3 linked regions of the Chlamydomonas reinhardtii genome follow. Each later gene encodes a partner of the first gene's protein in a complex. Links are inferred from orthologs where the notes say so. Each region holds a gene or a part of one and is shown in the gene's direction. Other genes may lie near its edges. The genes, in order: CHLRE_13g573450v5, CHLRE_12g487600v5 and CHLRE_12g498050v5.

The links.
Region 2: CHLRE_13g573450v5 (region 1) and CHLRE_12g487600v5 share a complex: the UniProt entries of both Arabidopsis thaliana proteins name them as parts of the CPSF complex. The link is inferred for Chlamydomonas reinhardtii from reciprocal best matches to the Arabidopsis thaliana genes CPSF160 and CPSF100.
Region 3: CHLRE_13g573450v5 (region 1) and CHLRE_12g498050v5 share a complex: the UniProt entries of both Arabidopsis thaliana proteins name them as parts of the CPSF complex. The link is inferred for Chlamydomonas reinhardtii from reciprocal best matches to the Arabidopsis thaliana genes CPSF160 and CPSF73-I.

The regions. Positions count from the first base shown.
Region 1 is NC_057016.1:1,600,980-1,606,682, forward strand, and holds part of CHLRE_13g573450v5 (uncharacterized protein), read left to right. Parts: coding exon 1-135; intron 136-439; coding exon 440-547; intron 548-811; coding exon 812-900; intron 901-1,387; coding exon 1,388-1,562; intron 1,563-1,909; coding exon 1,910-2,053; intron 2,054-2,318; coding exon 2,319-2,424; intron 2,425-2,776; coding exon 2,777-2,889; intron 2,890-3,322; coding exon 3,323-3,731; intron 3,732-3,939; coding exon 3,940-4,061; intron 4,062-4,354; coding exon 4,355-4,980; intron 4,981-5,703. UniProt on the Arabidopsis thaliana protein: CPSF plays a key role in pre-mRNA 3'-end formation, recognizing the AAUAAA signal sequence and interacting with poly(A)polymerase and other factors to bring about cleavage and poly(A) addition.
Region 2 is NC_057015.1:1,469,489-1,475,861, forward strand, and holds the start of CHLRE_12g487600v5 (uncharacterized protein), read left to right. Parts: upstream 1-2,746; 5' UTR 2,747-2,987; coding exon 2,988-3,136; intron 3,137-3,402; coding exon 3,403-3,571; intron 3,572-4,107; coding exon 4,108-4,415; intron 4,416-4,718; coding exon 4,719-4,846; intron 4,847-5,121; coding exon 5,122-5,233; intron 5,234-5,414; coding exon 5,415-5,511; intron 5,512-5,935; coding exon 5,936-6,028; intron 6,029-6,373. Other genes in the region: CHLRE_12g487650v5 (uncharacterized protein), read left to right, coding at 1-390; CHLRE_12g487652v5 (uncharacterized protein), read left to right, coding at 1,324-1,459, 1,770-1,843. UniProt on the Arabidopsis thaliana protein: CPSF plays a key role in pre-mRNA 3'-end formation, recognizing the AAUAAA signal sequence and interacting with poly(A)polymerase and other factors to bring about cleavage and poly(A) addition. Required for antisense-RNA-mediated gene silencing.
Region 3 is NC_057015.1:3,285,354-3,291,662, reverse strand, and holds the start of CHLRE_12g498050v5 (uncharacterized protein), read left to right. Parts: upstream 1-2,414; 5' UTR 2,415-2,578; coding exon 2,579-2,712; intron 2,713-2,779; coding exon 2,780-2,951; intron 2,952-3,370; coding exon 3,371-3,457; intron 3,458-3,867; coding exon 3,868-3,960; intron 3,961-4,401; coding exon 4,402-4,552; intron 4,553-4,802; coding exon 4,803-4,942; intron 4,943-5,132; coding exon 5,133-5,204; intron 5,205-5,434; coding exon 5,435-5,518; intron 5,519-5,784; coding exon 5,785-5,976; intron 5,977-6,271; coding exon 6,272-6,309. Other genes in the region: CHLRE_12g498000v5 (uncharacterized protein), read right to left, coding at 103-212, 382-921, 1,117-1,179, 1,303-1,398, 1,501-1,680. UniProt on the Arabidopsis thaliana protein: Component of the cleavage and polyadenylation specificity factor (CPSF) complex that play a key role in pre-mRNA 3'-end formation, recognizing the AAUAAA signal sequence and interacting with poly(A) polymerase and other factors to bring about cleavage and poly(A) addition.

The DNA.
Region 1 (5,703 bases):
CAGGGGCAGGGGCAGCAGCAGCGCGAGGCGCGCACGGCGGTGCCGCTGCCTCCCCGTGTGGTGGCTGACCCGGCGGGTCGGTGTGCGGCAGTGGTCATGTACTTCTGTCAGCTGGCGCTGGTGCCGGCCATTGAGGTGGGGAGAGGGAGTGGGGGGTTTTGGCGTGTGGGTGTGGCGTGTGGGGTTTGGGTGTGGGGTGGGGTGGGTGCCTGGGTGGGGTAGGGGTTTGGGCTTCGCCATCGGCTGAAAGAAGCATGGGACGCCGAGATGGTGCAGAGCGAGCGGGGTGAGATGAAATGGTCGTGGTGGCGATTGTGTTCTACTTGCGTGTTGCGCCCTGCACTGAGAGTCGAGAAGCATCCCCGCACCTGCCCGGATCGGGCTCAACAGTGCATCCCCCTCCTGCTGCTGCTCCATTCCTGCTGCTGCTCCCACACAGGGTGAGGCGCTGGAGGCTCTGAGCGGCTGCTCGGGTGGCGCGGGCAGTGCGGCGGCTGTGGGCAACAGCTATGTGCTCAACCTACACAAGATGATGGGTATCCGCGAGGTGGGGGCCGAGGGGCGGGCGCATGTCCGCGATGTGGGGCGGGGGGTTGCGAGAACCAAACCCAGAGCCTTGCACCGGTCCTGACACGCATCCCGGCTATCGTACGGCACCCCCCGATGGCTGTTCTCCTACCGTCTACCATTTCCTTAGCTTGTATAATTGTAACCTCCTGCCCACGACTAGTCGTGCCTGGAACCTCCCTCTCCCCCTCCCCCTCCCCCTCTTAACTAGTCATGAATGTAACCCCTCCCCTGCCTCCCTCAGGTCCGGGACTGTGTGTTCCTTCACGGCTACACGGAGCCGGTGCTGCTGCTGCTGCACGAGCCCGACCCCACCTGGGCGGGCCGCCTGCGGTGAGGCGCCCGGTGGCGGAGGGGGGGGGCGGAGGGGGGGGGGCCGGGGGGCGGAGGGGGGGGAGAAAAACGCGGGCTGGAGGTGGTTGGGGCTAGCGGTGGTCGGGGCTGGAGGTGGTTGGGGCTAGCGGTGGTCGGGGCTGGAGGTGGTTGGGGCTAGCGGTGGTCGGGGCTGGAGGTGGTTGGGGCTAGCGGTGGTCGGGGCTGGAGGTGGTTGGGTGGGGCCAACCCGTGCTGTTACGGTGCATTCAGAGGCGCATTGTCACTGTTTCGGGGTTGCGGACGTCTAGAGGCGCGCATGCGTGTGGCCGTGGGGGCCCGGGCTGGTTCCGCAGGGCTGGCACACCACAAACCCCTGCCCCTTGCCCACCGCCGTCCTGGCAACTAGCCATGCCTCCTCCACCTCCCGTTCACCCGGCCCCCATCCCCATCCCCATCCCGCCCCCCCCCTGTGGCCCCCACCCAACCCCCCTGGCTCACCCCCCAGCGAGCGCAAGGACACGTGCTGCCTGACCGCCATCTCCGTGTCGCTGCGCCTCAAGCGCCACACCGTGCTGTGGCGCGCCGCCGGCCTGCCCTACGACTGCTACCGCCTGCTGCCGCTGCCGCAGCGGCCCGCGGCGCTGGTGCTCAGCCCCAGCCTGGTCATGCTCACGTCGCAGGTGCGTGGGCTGGGGCTGGGAGGGGCAGAGCACAGCGGTCGAGCACGGCGGTAGGGCACGGTGGACGTGTAGATAGGTTACAACATGGAAGGGTGGGCATTGTGGCATGCTCAGGCGGGGTATGCGGTCGGGTAGTAAGGTGGGTGACCAGTGCGTGCGGTGCGTGCGGTGCGTGCGGTGCGTGCGGTGCGTGCGGTGCGTGCGGTGGGAGGGGAGCCAGCCCCCATGCAAAAGAGTGCTGGTGGCGCCATTCCTTCACTGCTTCTGCTCCTGCTCCAAATCGCCAATCCCCCAACCGCTCACAAGAATGCCTACCCCCCTTACCCCCACGCCACCCCACCCCCCAGGCCTCCCAGCCCCAGGCGGCGGCCCTCAACTCCACCGCTCTGCCCGGCGAGGCGCCGCCGCCGCTGGTGTTCGACCCCGCCCGCGAGGCGCCCTCCGTCACCGCGGCCCGGATGGCGGCGGAGTTCGCGCTCAACGTGCACCCGGTGTGTGTGTGTGTGTGTGTGTGTGTGTGTGTGTGTGTGTGTGTGCGTGTTTGTGTGTGTGCGTGTTTGTGTGTGTGCGTGTATGCGTGTGTAATTGTGTTTGTGTATGTTAGCAAAGCATCATCACTCCGAAGTCGGGGAAAGGCTGGACTCTGCGCATGTTCTCACCCCTCGCCTCTCACCCCTCGCCTCCCTTGTCCCTCTCTCTCACCTCCCACCTCCCACCTCTCGCCTCCCGCCTCTCACCTCCGTTGCTGCTGCTCAGGACTGCGCCCCCGCGCTGGGCCGCTCCGCCGCCCTGGTGGGCGACCTGGAGGCGGTGGCGGCGGGCGCCAGCGCAGCCTGGCTCAGCCCCACCACCTGCCTGCTGGGTGAGGCGTGGGGGGAGGGAGGCGGTGCAGGAGGAGGGCTGTGGGGGCCGGGTCGGGGTTGCAAAGACGGTACAGAGAAGTACAGAGAAGTGTAGCGAGGTAGACATGGCGTGGTTGACTACTCCAGCTTTGGAGGACTGGGTCGACGAGCTGAAGCACCGAAGCGGTTCGGCGGTTGCAGGACGGGTTATGATTGAATGATTGTTGTTGTCGTGATACGACCTCTACCCCATTCTCCCTATATCAGGGGAATGACTCGCAAGTAATAGGCCCTGTTGGGGTCATTCTGTAGTTCACGACAGTTGTCATCAGCCTGACACCGCGCTGCCCCACTCCACCTTGCCTCCCACAGGCCTGCAGAGCGGCTCGCTGCTAGCGCTGCACCTGCGCCTGGAGCCGCACGTGCCGCCGGAGCAGCGCATCACCGCTGTGCGCACAGGCGGAGGGCCGGTGGCCACAGCCATGGTGGGGGGGCAGCTGGGAGGGTCGGGAGCTGGGGGTTGGAGGTGATACCGGCCCAAACTAATCCAAACCCAATGCAAAAGAGCGAGCGGGGTGGGGGTTAATGTGCCCGAGCCCGGTGAAAAAGTCCCATCACACGACGGGTTGTAGGGGTGGGCTGGAGAATGCAGGAGGGACTGGAGCGAGGGGCTGGGAGTTGACCTGGAGATGGAGACGGAGAGGGGGTCGGATTAGCAAGGCATGAACACGAGCGGGCCGGGAAGAACGCGAGCTGCGGCGTTTGGGGGGACACAAGTTGCAGCCATTGGAGCTGGGTGCGTGGCGGTAAAGCGGACCAAGGCTTGCGCGTGACGCCTCTGGTGCCCGGTGTGTAGTCCAGTCCTGGCAGTTCGTATCTTAGTAATGCCCTTCCGCTGTAATGCTCTGCCCTGTGCAGGTGGGACTCACAATGGCAGCGGCGGCGCGCGCGCCCGCCGCCGTGGCGGCGGCGGCCCTGGGCTCCGCCGCCGCCGCCGCCACTGGCAACCTACCGTACGATTTGTACCGCGGACCGAAGGGCCTCATCTTCCTTGGATCCTGGACAGGCGACTCCGTACTCATGCAGTTAAAACCGCGTACGGACAATGCGGCGGAGGGCCCGGCGGCGAAGCGTCAGAAGCGTGTGGGCGGGGCCGACATGGGTGGCGATGGCGGCGGTGCCGGCGCGGCGTTGACCAATCGCAGTGCGGCGGTGGCGGCGGCGGCGGCGGCGGGCGCAGCCGCCGCCGCCAAGGTGGCGGCGGCGGAGGGCGGCGTGGGGCCGCAGCGTTTTAACCTGCGGCTGTTGGACTCCCTGCCGTCACTGGGTGGGTTTCCAAAGGGTCGCGAGAAGGGTCACGTAAACGTGTCAGGTTATCACACGCGTGGCTGATACACCATGCGGTTACGCCTCCTTCTCTTCAGCTCTTACACACGCGTACACTTGTGCACCGCATTGCACACACCGTCCTGCGTGCCTCCTTCCATACCGCTCACTTGCGCATGCTCGCGCACATGTGCACTCGCATGTGACAGGCCCCGTGCGCGACCTCCTCCACGTGGACACCTCCGTGTCGCCGTACACCGCCGGCGGCGGCGGCGGCGGCCCCCTAGGCGCCAGCCGGGGCGGGCCCACCAGCTTCCTGTGTGTGGGGCAGGTGCGTGTGCGCCTTTGTGTTTGTTACTCCGTTGTCGTGCGTTGTAGCGAGATGTGGGCGTCGGACTGCAGCAGTCGATGTGCGCTCCTGCCAAGTGTGACTTGCACCCGCCCGTGCCGCATCCTTACCCACATCAACCACCATACAACCCCAGTCCACCACCACACATACACACACATTACACACACAGGGCAGCTTATAGCCGTATGCCGTCGCGTCGCTGCATCGCACACACATCCTTCGCGCTTACTTTTCCTTGCGCTCTTTACCACACACCACACGCACACACACAGGGCCAGACGGGCGCGCTGGTTCTGGCGCGTCAGGGGCTGGTGCCTGACGTGGTGACTGAGGTGGGGCTGGCGGGCATTGCCGGCGTGTTCGCAGTGCGGCACCGCGACCCAGACGACGACCCAGACGACGGCGGGGGCCCGGCCGAGGAGTTGGCGGCGGAGGCAGACGGGGCCGAGGTCGGCGAAGACGGTGACGGGGAGGCGGCGGCGGAGGGAGAGGCGGAGGGAGAGGCGGAGGGAGATGGCGAGGGAGAGGCGGGGGGCAAGGAGCGGGCTACGAGCCCCAAGCCGGCGGCAGTCAAGCCCCAGCCCGGGGGGACGGAGGCAGACGCCGCCGCCGCCGCCGCCGCTGAGGGCGCCGCTGCTACAGCCGTGAAAGCCGGAGAGCCGGCGGACGGAGCTCCTGCTACAGCCGCCGCTGCCTCGGGCGCCAAGCGCGGCCGCTCGCCGGAGCCAGTGGCGGCGGCGGGCGCCATCGTGCCTGTGTCGCAGCCGGGCAAGGGAGCGGGCGGCGGCGGTGGCGGCGGGGGTCAGCCCAGCTACCACGCCTTCCTGCTCATCACCATGGGCAGGGCGCGGACCATGGTGCTCAAGTGCGCCGAGGGGCTGGACGACGTCACCACCAGGTGTGTGTGTATGTGTGTGTGTGTGTGTGTGTGTGTGTGTGTGTGTGTGTGTGTGTGTGTGACAACGGTTTACAGTTGTTTATCAGATCACGTGATCGTGTATCCGGACAACCCGTAGTTGCTAGTGCCAGGGGCGCATTAGCACCTTGTTTGTCGCGCATGGGTCTGGCAGTACATGTCTCCCAAGCCTACGCGTAGCGTTAGACGTCAGTTTGGCCACAGGAGCCGCACCTCCATCTATTGTGGTTAGACACTGATTTGGCCCTAAGAGCCGCACCTCTGTCTATATTGTGAGACGTCGGTTTGGCCCTAGAAGCCGCACCTCCGTCTATATCAACACTGCTGCGAGCCGGCAGCTGGCCACTATGCATTGTTTGTTCGCCTAGCAAAAAGTCATGTACCGTCCAAGTCCGGCACGTGGCCGCAGCAACCGCAAAACAAGCACCCCGCCGGCACTAGCTACCTTCCCTTCCCCACAGGGCAGGATATGCCTAAGGGCAGCCACAAAGTGAGAGAGAGGATCAATAACCAAAACCGTCTGTGCCCTAGCCCTGCATTCCCAACAAGCCTAACTTCCGCTGGACTTAAACACACACACAATGCGCGCCCCTCTCAGTTATCCGCCATGTGCATTACTGCACGGGGTGTACGCAGCGCCGGTCCCCCTCCTCAGTGACGATGTCCGTGCCCCGCCAGTACGGCTGCAGACCCCGTTCCACCAGG
Region 2 (6,373 bases), on another chromosome or scaffold:
TACACCTCAATGCTCACGTCAGCGGCCACGACCACGGCTGCGCAGCTGCAGGCCGGCGCGGGCCATCAGGCTGTAGCAGCCAGCACAGGTGTGCGACCCATGAGCTCGCCTGCTCGGCAGCCGCGGGCCTACAGCTTGGGCGGAGGAGGAGGCGGTGGAGGAGGGGACTCTGGGGTGGCGACAGCAATGCTACCGCTGTCACCATCCGGCATCTGTGCTAGCGCGAGCGGCAGCAAGGATGTTGCTGGGTGGGGCTGGGGCGGCGGCAGTCCCTTGGGCGGTGCTGCTGCCCAGAGCCTGTTTGTGGTGGACGGTGTCAGTCGGTCTGTGCGTTTAACATCAGCTCCTATGGGGGCGCCCGGCCCCCGCAGCAGCGGTCGCAGGGCTTAGGCGCGTTGGGCGTAGAGGGACGCAGAACACACACGCACAGGTTCAATATGCAACGGTAGCTGTGAGTTCGGCGTTATGCGGGCCAAGAAGGATGCGATGCGAGGCTTGCTCAAGTATACGGTATGAAGGGTCAGTAGCAATGGCATGTTATTCATGTTCTTCATGTGTTTAGTTAACGCTTTGCTTGGGGAGTGCCGAGGAGTGCCGAACTTGGATTGCCGGGATGTGTGCTCACGAGGCCCGTGCGGGCGCCGCGACACCGGCAGGTTCTGTTAAAGATGCATGGGTGGAATGTTCAAGCAAGCCGGCCTGACGCACAAAATAACCTGTGGCAGCCTGTGTGGGTACAAGTTGCCCTGTGGAACAGTGGAAGGAGCAAGGAGCCGAGGTGCGTGCGTGAGGGTATGCGCGACTTTACAGGGCAGGCGCAGGCGCATGCAGCAGGACGAGCTTAACGCAGTGACAAAGGCGCCCGAAAAAGCAACCAGCTTACACAAACACCAGCACCCGAACAGCGTCGCCAAAGGCAAACCGCAGACGGCTGGTACTTCTCGGAACGGAATGCCGTTGCACCGCAGCCGTTAGTACCGAGCAACCCACCCATCCTCTGGGCACACGCCCTTGCATTGTACCGTAAATTGATAGAATTGCATCGCTATAATCAAATAGTTTCAAATTAACGACAAGCGGTTCCGATGCTCCAATGAAAGCGCGAAAGCGACTCCTCCATTAGCTCTAGCCAAGCCGCCTGCTGTTCCATCAATACTCATACTTGTTGATTACATCAATATGTGCAAGACAATAGCCCGGCCGTGCAACACAAGCGGTGTGGCGCCGGATTGGTTGCCATCGTGGACGCTGGTTCGCAGTCTTACAATGTGCCTGCCATTCGCAAGCGTTATCCATGCATAGTATGCGTCGCTTGATCGGGTCATGCATGTGCGCAGGGCCTCGACCGCTACACCCTGGCGGCGTGTCAGTACCAAAGTGCAAGCCAGCCCAAGGCACCCTACCTACCTGCCTAAGCCGGCGGGCACACCTCCCGCGGCGCGGAGACAGTCATGCGCGGGTGGGTATACCCGGGATAGTGTGTTCGGTGTGCAGCACTGAATGCGCTTACGTCGGAGTCCTCACATGGAACTTGAAGGCTATGTGGCCACGCTATGTGGCCCAAAAGGCGCTTTACCAGAACCTTGGGGACTACCCGGAGGGCAGGCAGTGCCAGAATGCAGTGCCGTGGGTGGCGGTATGTCCGGACGAGTGCATGGCATGTCCGCATGTGCCTGCATCCGTCACCGCGTCACGTATTTCTAAGATGCCAGCACGTCCGCATGCTGACAGGCCTTGTCCGTGGTGTTCGTTCTGCCCCTTCCCACCAGGCGAGCGGCGCTGCCCGAAGCCCCACCCGCACCCGGCTGGGGCGTCGGGCGCCGCCGCTCCCCCGCTTGCATGACTGGCTCCTCGCCGGCTGTGAGGCCTGCCCGCTGGCGGCTGTGGGTGCTGGTGCTGGCTCAAGTGCTGATGCCTTCTATGCAACATATGAACTGCTGTGGGACTGGATGGCGTATGGCTGTGCCAGGCATTCTGCATGCGGGCACGTATGTAGTGAGTTGATGGCCGTGGTCGATGGGTGTGCGATGGAACAGTGCTAAGGCAGGTTGGTGAAGTTCCGTAGGGTGCAGCTGATTTCCAGATCCCAGCAGATGGCAGACAACTTGCAATTGCAGTGCAGGAGCGCGCGGAACGATGGGTGCTTGACATGGCACACGACTACCGGTGACAACAGGCCAACAGCTAAAAAGTTCCGTAGGGGCGTGTCCGCAGAGTGCGCGCGCACGCAGGCCATTATAGGTAGCCCTGACTGGCCCTGAGTTCCGGTGGAGGTTTGCATGAAAAGCACAGTGGCGATATCCTGAGGTGTGACGGGAGGCGCCCGGTGCGGTTCATGTTGAGGGCACGCTCAGCCGAACACATCCAAATGGTCGAGGTGCTGGAAAGGAGCAGGGTTGCGTTTGTTACCGCCGCTTCTCAGTGCGCCTCCTAGTATGATAGCCACACGGAAAACACGATGCCACAAAAGAAGCGGCTTGAAGTTGTTGGCGTGGCGTTCGAGCAATGTGAGGGCAGTCGCCGATTCAAGAATCCCGTCCTGTAACCTTGAAACGAGGGTCATATACTCCCACCCTGTGAGCATGTCAGCACACACCGGTCACCTATGTCAGCCATCGGTGAGATGTCAGCGCCCCGGCGCCAGGCCGAGACGACTTCAACACGGCGGGGAAGGGAGGGGAAAACCCGGCACGCTCCGGCCATCGCGCCACACTAAACGTTTGTCGCGGGGGCCATTGCGATGGTCATCACTTACAAGTTCAAAGCAAAGCATTTCAACACATATCTGCGTCAGCGAGCTGTGTCTTTTGCGCAAGTAGTTTTGCCAGGTTTCTTGCAGTGCTTGTTTACGCGATCCAGCACACTTTAGATGAGCATAATGTAGACAATTCATCGTTAAGACCTCATGACAATACAAACACACGAGCGCGCGGAAATGGGCGACGCGCCGGGAAGGTCGAGGCGCTGAACTATAGCCTAGCGAAAGCATGGAGACAGTTGTCAGGTACACGCCGCTATGCGGCGTTGGCGAGGACTCGCCGCTGTGCTCACTGTTAGAGATTGACGACTACACCATCCTCCTGGACTGCGGCTGGGACGACAGCTTTGATGTTGCGCTGCTGGACCCAGTGCTCAAGTGCGTATGTGTGGCTCAGGGGAACTTCAGGAGGGCGGGTGAACTGGAAGGGATGGGCAGGGGGAAGGGGCGTGGGGAAGGGGTAGAAAGGGCCAAGGGAAGGGGCGTGTCTTTGGAACTCTGCCCAAAGAGTCCCTGTGTCCGGCGTGTGCCGCCGCCTGCATCCCTTTCCGCCTCCACCGCCACCCCCTCCCACCCCTGTCCATCCCCATGCTCCCCGGCACTCTCCCGCCACCTCATCCTCTCCCTCACCACCACCCCACCAGGGTGCTCCCGCGCATCGACGCGGTGCTGCTGTCCCACCCCTCGCCCGCGCACCTGGGCTCACTGCCCTACCTGGTGGGCCGCTGCGGGCTGGCGGCGCCGGTGTTCTCCACCAAGCCCACTCGCCGCATGGGCGAGATGTTCATGTTCGAGGCGTGCCTGGCGCACCAGGTGGGGAGGGGGAGGGGGAGGGGGGGGGGTTGCGGAGGGCGAGAGGGGAGGAAGGGGAGAGGGGTAGGGGAGCGGGGTGCTGTGAGTGTGAGAGATGTTGAACGCGGGATAAAGGGGTTGCCGAGGGTGGGAGAATGGGAGAAAGGGCTGGGGGAGAGGTACAGGATGGCTGTAGGGGATTTGTTTGCACGATGCCTGTGAGCGTCCGGGTGAGTGTGGGCCACTGGGGCGGGTTGGGAGGTGCGAGCGTGTCAAGACAGCATGGGTGGTTGTGTCTGCGGGCGAGGCCGGGACAGACTGTGTGGTCGTCCAATCCCGCGCACGGGTCTCCATCCTCGTATCCCACGATCAAGGCCTTCCATGCGGTCAGCTTACCGCCCCCTTCCTTTCCCTTGCTGTTCATGCTTCCCCCCCTGCTGCAACGACCTGTCAACATCACCGCGTCTTGATCAATCATGCATGGAATCCCCCTCTTATCTAATCACTCCATTCGCCGCATGAACGGCTACCCCCTCCCTGGGAATCGTGGTATCCAGGCCGTGTCGGACTTCGCCGCATACGACCTAGACGACGTGGACGCCGGGTTCCGACTGCACCCCCGCTGGACCGAGCTGCGCTACAGCCAGAAGCACCTGCTACTGCCGCCCGCGGCGCCCGGTGCTACAGCCGGCGAGGCGGGCGCAGCGGGGGCGGCGGGCGGGGGTCAGGGGCCGGCGGGCGGCGGCATTGCCATCACGCCACTGCCTGCGGGCCGCTACCCGGGCGGTGCAGTGTGGCGGCTGACGCTGTTGGGCAGTGGGCAGGAGGTGGTGTATGCGGTGGACTTCAACCACCGCAAGGAGAGGTGAGGCGGCGGGATGGGGGCGGCGCGTGGGGAGGGGGGGGGAGGCATTGTCTGTCGCCATGCACTGTAAGCTGTAGAAGCAACGGAGAGAAGGGGAGGCAGCATGCGCAATAAAGCCGGGGGGGGAGCTCAGAGGCCTTGCCATCGGTGATGCGACGCTGACATGACGGTGCCCTATGCGTTGCGCCGCCGCCCACTCCCTCTCCCCCGCTGTGGGCTGCTTAGGCTTCTGGGCCCCGGTGACTCGGTGACGTGGGGATTGGAGTTGACTGCCGGCCTCTCCGCCACCCCCACCCCCCACAGGCTTCTGAACGAGACCACTTTCACCACCGCACTGGCGGCGCTGCAGCCGGCGCTGCTCATTGGCGACGCGGTGAACGGCCTGGCGCCGCCGGCCCCGCCCCGACACAAGCGGGATGAGGAGTTCCTGGGTGCGTGCGCGTCATGGCCGGGCGCGTTTGCCGTTTGTGTGCACGCTGGGGCGTTGCTGGGCGTTACTTCGTTGCTCGCTCGCGGGCCCATGGCTTGGGCAGTGGGAGTCGCGGTGGCTGGAACCCTCCCTGTGATGTATGCACTCCGTCTTGCATACGGCTCCCCCCTCCGCTAGTTTGGCTTCGTTTGGTTCAGTTTGAGCTGGTATTCACAACCCCCACCCACTACCACTTCCTTAACTCTTCAAGAATGTACCCCCCTCTTGGTGTGACAGACGCCATCACGGCCACGGTGGAGGGCGAGGGCAACGTGCTCATACCCACGGACGCGGCGGGGCGAGTGTTGGAGCTGGCGCTGCTGCTGGACGAGCACTTCGCGCGGGCCAGGTGCGTGTGTGTGCGCGTGTCATCACCTCTTTACTTCTTGTTTGCATGTGGAGGTATATGTATGTGTGTTTGTGTGTGTATATGTGCGACAAGGTGTTGGGGTCTCGCCTCGTCGACTCAGGAGTTTCGCAGATCGGGCACTGCCCCTTCCCACTCCCCACGTGGCGCCACCCACCCACAGGATTGCGGCCACGCCTGTGGTGTTGTCGTACACGATCAAGACGGTGCTGGAGTTCGCGCGGACGCAGCTCGAATACCTGGGCAGCGAGATGGTGCAGGTGTGTGTGCGTGTGTGTGTGTGTGTGTGTGTGTGTGTGCGTGTGTGTGTGTGTGTGTGTGTGTGTGTGTGTGTGTGTGTGTGTGTGCGCATGCGTGTGTTACGGCAGCGCAAGGGTGAGGGTTGACACCGTGCGCGCTGAATCAGCAAGCAAGCAACGCCGCGTTTGTGTGAGCGTGTTTCATAGCATGAAGGAAAGCAGGACTGTGCATTCGATACAGAGTCTGTGTACTGGAATGTGCGTGTGCCCGAGTGTGGCAGCGTGTGTCTGCCGGGGCCCGGCCAGCGGACCCGACTGTGGGTGCCCCGACGCGCCAGCCCGGCATGCCCGCTGACCCGGCGCGCCCGCCCGCCAACTCACAATGCCAATACGGTCCACAATGCCAACGCCCCGCCTGTGCCCCCCCTCTCCCTCTCCCTCGCAGGCCTTCTCCCACAAGCGCACCATCCCCTTCACCTTCCGCAAGCTGGCCGTCATCACGCGGCTCGAAGACCTGGGGGCCATACCCGGACCCAAGGTGCGGCTGCGCGTTGTCGTGTGTGCATGTGGAGAAGCACGTTGCAGGGTAGAAGCGTTTTTGGCCATGTGTGTTTTACATGTTACGCCCAACCCGATGCGTTGGGATTCTCCCGTTTGGTCGTCAGCGGGGAGTCTGTCCCATGCCCGGCTTTACATAATGGCCATGCTCTCAGCAGCCAAACCTGGCATCCCTCCGCTTTCTCCCGCTGCCCCACCCGGTCGCGCCAGGACTGATCTGCTGCAACCTGTCAGCAACACCTCGTCTTGATTAAATCATGCATGGAACCCCCCTGTGCTCCGCTCGTTTTCAGTTGGTTTTGGTTTAGTTTTGGCTGGTATTTAC
Region 3 (6,309 bases), on another chromosome or scaffold:
CGTTTGCAAGTACGGTAGGTCTGCCGTCCCGCGCGCCAGCATCTCGCAGCCCCGCCCCCCGCCCACCAGTTTCCCAGGTGTGCCGAGGCGCGCTTCACGCACCTGCTCCCCACGTGCACAGCCAGCCTCAGCCCCAGCCCCGCGTCCAGCAGGTGGGCCGCCTGCGCCGCACTCAGCCCGCGCCGCTGCAGCTCCCACTGCAGGTCAACCACCTGCAGCAGCGCAGCCACGGAGCATGTGTACACGAATTGTGATGCTGTGGTTACAACGGCAGCCGCAAACCCTATGCGCATCAGGTCGCACCTGCAGCTGTTTCTATAGATAGATAGGCCAACCCTGGAGAAGTGCACACAACAAAACACACGCACACGCCACACACACCTGCACCACCTCAGACCAGCTGCCAAGCATAGCCAGACACGGCCGCTCGACTGCGTGTGATGTGGACGTGGCAGCTGATGCCGGTGCGCCTGGTCCATGTCGAGCAAGCGCAACGACATCAACAGGCCCTGAGTCGGCCGCCTCCGGCTCCGTTGCCGGCTGGCCTCTCAGAAGCAGCCCCTCTTCTAGCGCCGCCACCCCTTCAGAGGCAAACTCGCGCAAACCCTGCAGAGCCCGTCGCATTGCGGACGCCAATCTGCCAGCGCCGCCGCCTGCGCCCTCACCACCCGTGCCAGTAGCTGCCGCAGCGTGCCGACAGGAGGGATATGGCAGCGGGGGCGGGGGTGCCAGCGGCTGAGCATGAGGCAAAACAGGATTGGCGGGCCCGCCCATCCTGTTTTGCGGTGGCTGCTGCTGCTGTTGCGGCTGCGCTTGCGCCGACGGTGCAGCCGGTGCGGCTCTTCGTGGCAAGGGCGGCGGTGTCATCCCCTGCGGCACCCGCTCCCATGACACCTCCTTGCCTACAGACTGGTTCACCACCTACGTGTGCAAACAGAAAGCGCGGCCGCGGCGTGGCGGTAGCTAGGTGGATGTCAGGGTACGAGGACATATGCGTGGATTGACACTGGGTACAACCGTACGTGCAATCGTCCCCAAACCTACAGGCAACCCTACTGTAGTTTTGGGCTTAGCGCGGCCGCGTATTCCCTGACCCGCATGCACCCTGCCACTCACCCAGGCCGTCCTCTCCACGCCTCCTCCCCACAGCGTGGGTGTATTGCACTCCCGTCGGAAGCCCTGTTGGTGCAGGCACGAAACAACGAGGGGATGGTCTCGACATAAACGCTGGGTCCCATATGCCCCAGCTCACTATCCAGCACGCTATTTGCCATAGATTGCGGCTTTGCATTCGGCACTCACGGGGTTGCGCAGCAGGTTGCGGCCGCACAGGGCGAGGTACAGGTGGCCCAGCCGCAACGGGCGGGACCCCAGCGCTTGAAGCGCTGCCAGCTGTGACTGCGTGCGGATGTGGGTGCGGTTGCGTCATCGTAATGCACAGGTCGCGCGCTGTGTGGGGGTGGTCGGGCACCTTGAAACAAGAAGCAAGGCCCAACGCACCAGCGCATGTGGCGGAATGTGCTCCTGCCACACCGATGTCTCCATCGTTGCAGCCCGGAAAGTCGTGCAAACTGATGGAACAGACAGTGCCAGCGTCTCAGCGTCCACCATTGACAGGATGGTATTGAGGAGCTCCCCGGGCAGGTCGACTAATGTTGGCGGCGTTGCGGTCGCCTTCATTTCGGCAATGCGGGTTAACATGTTTGGGCTGGGACAGTCACGCTCGCTGCTAGCCGGCATTGAAGTGACTTGTTTGCAGACAATGCAGGCTGCGTCGCGCGTAAGCCGTGACCGTAATTACTTCGTGTGCGCGTGAGACTGGCCTCGAGTTGACACCGCTGCGAGTGCGAGTTCTAGGGCTTATACGGCATGAGTGCCTTGGAGGCACATAAGTGTATACGTGAAACTCTTATCTTATGAGGACCTGACATTCGTGCAGAGGTAGCTACCCTCACTGCGCTGTCTGTGAAGGTGGCCGTTGGATCCAGCGTCTTCATCAAAAGGGCCTCAGTGCCTCACTGCCTCACCTTCTGCACAGACTGGAGAACAACCTCAATGTAATGTGTATCACTGCTTAGTAGCAAGCAGGCAAGAGTGCAAGACCAAGAGCTTGCGCTGCCAGGCCAGCCAGGCTCCGCCCCCCCCTGGGCCCAACCGCGTCAGACATTGCCGCTACGGGTTGGGCGAACCCTTTCTGCTTGTGCTTGATGAGCATGCAAGGGTGGGGGAGGTACAGCACGTTCTACTTCGGCCCGCCTGTCATGTCTAGATATGCGTACCGTGGGCGGCATAGTGACTTAAAACCTTTGGGGGTCCAAGAGACGAGGGGGGGGGGGGCGCTTGAGTGTGTGTCGATCTGACGAGCGATGCAGCCGAAAGGCTGCCCCTATGCCGACCCCGCTGGCTATCAATACCTAAAGCTCTCAAACAAGCAGTTTCGCGTCCTCTACAAGTCGAGTGGCCCGTCGTGAAGGTTACTTACGTTTGCTTTGAGCGCTCGGGCTCATCGGATGGCAAAAAGGAACTGTAACTAATCTAAACGTTAGATAGCACGCAAGAGCTGCTTGACTTAGATAGGATGGCAGCAACGGCGAAGCGGAAAATAGATGAAGGGCCCGCTGACGGCGAGCCTGACACGTCCACGCATGCACATATCATTCCTCTAGGAGCTGGCTCAGAAGTGGGCCGCTCATGTATTATCTTCAAGTACCAGTGAGTGCGGGGTGATCGATGGCCAGCACGCTCGTCGCGAACGCTTACATATACGCACCGCACACAGGGACAAGACTGTTATGTTTGACTGTGGCATCCATCCCGCCTTCAAGGGAATGGATAGCCTGCCCCTGCTGGACGAAATCGACATTGACACGGTGGACGTGGCGCTCATCACCCACTTCCACCTGGATCACTGCGCCGCGGTCCCCTACCTGCTGCGAAAGACCCGCTTCAAGGTGCGGGATGAATGTGGCGGTAGGGCAGGGGTTGGAGGCTGGGCGGCATGATGGAGCTGCTGTTGCGGAGGGGCAGTAAAGCACAGACTCAGCCGGGGTGCAAGGCCCGCAAGCGCAGTACGTCGCCCGCCAGCAGAGGCGTGGGTCCGCGGCGAACGCTGCGCACGTCGGTGCCGCCCAGGATTGGGCGGGTTTGGTGGGTTTCAGTATAGCGTACTGCCTCCACTCGTCATCCTCCGGGGCCATGCACACACGGCGCAACCCGCTCTGCCCCCCGCCCTTCAACTCCACACCCCTATCTCTGCTGCCCGAATGCCGGGATTACTTGCTGCGTTTCCTGCTTGCTTGCACCCTTGCCCCTGTATTTGATCCATTGCACATCCTCCGCTCCCCTCTCCTCCCCTCCTCTCACTGGACAGGGCCGCATCTTCATGACGCACCCCACCAAGGCCATCTACTACTCGCTGCTGCGGGACCTGGCCAAGGGCTCCAAGCACAGCAGCGAGGTGCGGGGCTGGGGGGATAGTTCATTCGAATCCTAAAATAAAGGGGGGTAGCCATTCATGCGAATGGCTAAACTAAGCCAAGCCAAATTAGCGGAGCACAGGCAAAGGCGGCAGTCGCCAGCGAGAAGACTTACGGGAGGTGGGGGAGGGCGCCCGTGGCGGCCCGGAAGGAGGGAGAGGGAAGCCGGGTTTTACTCACGAAGGCTGTCAGGGCGCCCTATGTCCTTGTCACCCCCACCCCGCCCCCCCCCCCCACACCAAATCGCCGCGATGCCCCTTCTGCCGCCCCCTTTCTCTTTACAATCTTGATGATCATGGAAACGGTGCAAACAGCTTGCTTCCACTTCTCCTCGGGTTCTTATTGGCCTCCGGAACGAACTTCCCCTTTCCCTCCGCCTCCCCGCCTGCAGGAGGCTTTGTTCAATGAGGACGACCTGGAGGCCAGCATGCAGCGCATCGAGGTGGTGGACTTCTACCAGACCATCGAGGTGGCGGGAATGCAGGTGCGATCGGGTGTGTGTGTTGGGGGCGGGGGGCGGGATGTGGGGGCGAGGGGGCAGCGGGGAGGTGGGAGGTGGTGGTGGTTGGGTGGGCGAGTTGGTGGCTGGGTCGGTGGGCGCGTCAGTCGGTGGTGCGGGGCCGGGCAGCACCGGGGTGGGGGCAGCGCAAGTGGGGAGGGTGGGGTGCAGCAAGAGCACGCTGGGACAAATGCGCGGGCCGCTTCCCGGATCACACGCCACGGATCAGCGCCAGGTCCCGAGGCGCTGATCCGCGCCGTGTGGCCTGCATGGTGTGGCTGCTGCTCGCGCTCTGTCGCTGCACTGCTCGCCCGTACCAGCTCCCCTTTCTTCCCCCCGGGCGGCTATACCTTGATTATTGGGACCTACCGTGTTTCGTTAGGCTTGCGCACACAATCCCCCCTGCTGCTGCCCTTGCGCCTGCAGATCACGCCGTACCGGGCCGGCCACGTGCTGGGTGCCGCCATGTTCCTGGTGGAGGTGGCGGGCTGCAGGTGCCTCTACACAGGCGACTACAGCCGCCTGCCGGACAGGCACCTGCCCGCGGCAGACATACCGCCCGTCAAGCCGCACATAGGTGAGCTGGTGGCGGCGGCGGCGGCTGGAGCGAGTGGTGGAGGGTAGGGACACAGGGTAGGGGCCCCGGCGGGGCTTGGTGGCGGGGTGCGGGCGGTGCGGGTCATGGTGGGCCAGCAGTGTCCCTGTTGCCCTTGTTCATGCGCATGCGTGGAGTGGATTGCGATGCGAATTCTCATGTTGTTGCTGCTGTGCTGCTGTGCTGCTGTGCTGCTGTGCTGCGGTGCTGCTGCTGCTGCTGCTTGCTGCAGTGATTGTGGAGAGCACGTACGGCACCAGCCGGCACCTGCCCCGCCTGCAGCGCGAGCAGCTGCTGCTGGACACCATCCGCAACACCATCAACCGCGGCGGCCGAGTCATCATGCCCGTGGTGGCGCTGGGGCGCGCGCAGGTGGGGCAGCCGGCGAGCGCGAGGGGAACTGGGGGAGGAGGATACTTGTCAAAGCAGCCATGGCTGGTCGGCGGGCTGTGGTCTCGCGCACGCACTGCCAGTCCCGCGCATCCATCCCTACCCATCTCATACCCAATGCAATCTACCTGCCGTGTGGCCACGCCGCCTGCCTGTGCCCCCACTCCCGCAGGAGCTGCTGCTGCTGCTGGACGAGTATTGGGAGGCGCACAAGTCGGAGCTGAGCGGCATACCCATATACCAGGTGTGTGTGTGTGTGCGCTTGTGCGCTTGTGCGCTCACCAATGCGCACTCCGACTGCTGGCGGCACCCAAGGGCTGGCATGTATTAAATCTTTGCTGCCTAGCTTCTCAACAACGCACCCAGTAGCAACGCCTACTCCTTCAGAACCTCCTCCACTCTTCTCCGGCCGGGCCCCCCCCCCAAATCGTCGTACAAAGTAGTATGCATGGACCCCACCCACCCGCCCCACAGGCCAGCTCTATGATGAGCAAGGCACTTGGTGTGTACCAGACGTACGTGGAGTCACTCAACGACGACATCAAGAGGGTCTTCCACGTGAGCAGCGGCGAGGCCAAGGGGGGCGGGGCCAAAGGGGGCCAAGGGGGCTGGTTGGGGCCCCCTTGAGGGACAGCGCCCGGTAGCTCGACATGCGGCGCCTGCGGCTTGGCCCAACCCGTGCTGACAGCCCCGCAGCGGTTTTCCCATTATGTACTTACTGTTGCAGTTGTTGCCCTCGTCCAGCGCTCTCCGACCGCTCCACGCGCTAACGATGTCTCCACCCCCTTTCCCTTGCCCCTCTGCGTCCCGTCGCGGCCCTTCAGGAGCGCAACCCCTTCAAGTTCCGGCATGTGCAGACGCTCAAGAACCCCGCCCACTTCATCTCCGACTACAGCGGCCCCTGCGTCATCATGGCCACGCCCTCGGGGCTGCAGAGTGGCGCCAGCCGGGACTTCTTTGAGGCCTGGTGCGAGGACAGCCGCAACACCTGCATCATCTGCGACTTCGCGGTGCAGGTGAGGAGAGGCGGGCTGTCAGTTTAGGGAGGGGCGTGTGTGTGCGTCCGTGCGTCGGTGTGCACGCTGTAGTGCTCAGGGGCGTTCACGTCTATGTGTTTGTTCGTCTGCGCGTCTGTGCGGGTGCAGTGCCAGGGCCTAAGGGAGTGGACGGGGACGGGTGCTGGACAGAGGCTTCCGTCACGGTGCTCCGGGCATGCCGCTTGCAGCCGGCATAACTTATGATTCGGTACCATACGTACCTCTCACGATGCCTAGCTCACCACCGCCGCCGCTGCCGCCCTCTCCACCGCAGGGCACTCTGGCCAAGGAGATCCTGGGCGGCCCCAGCTC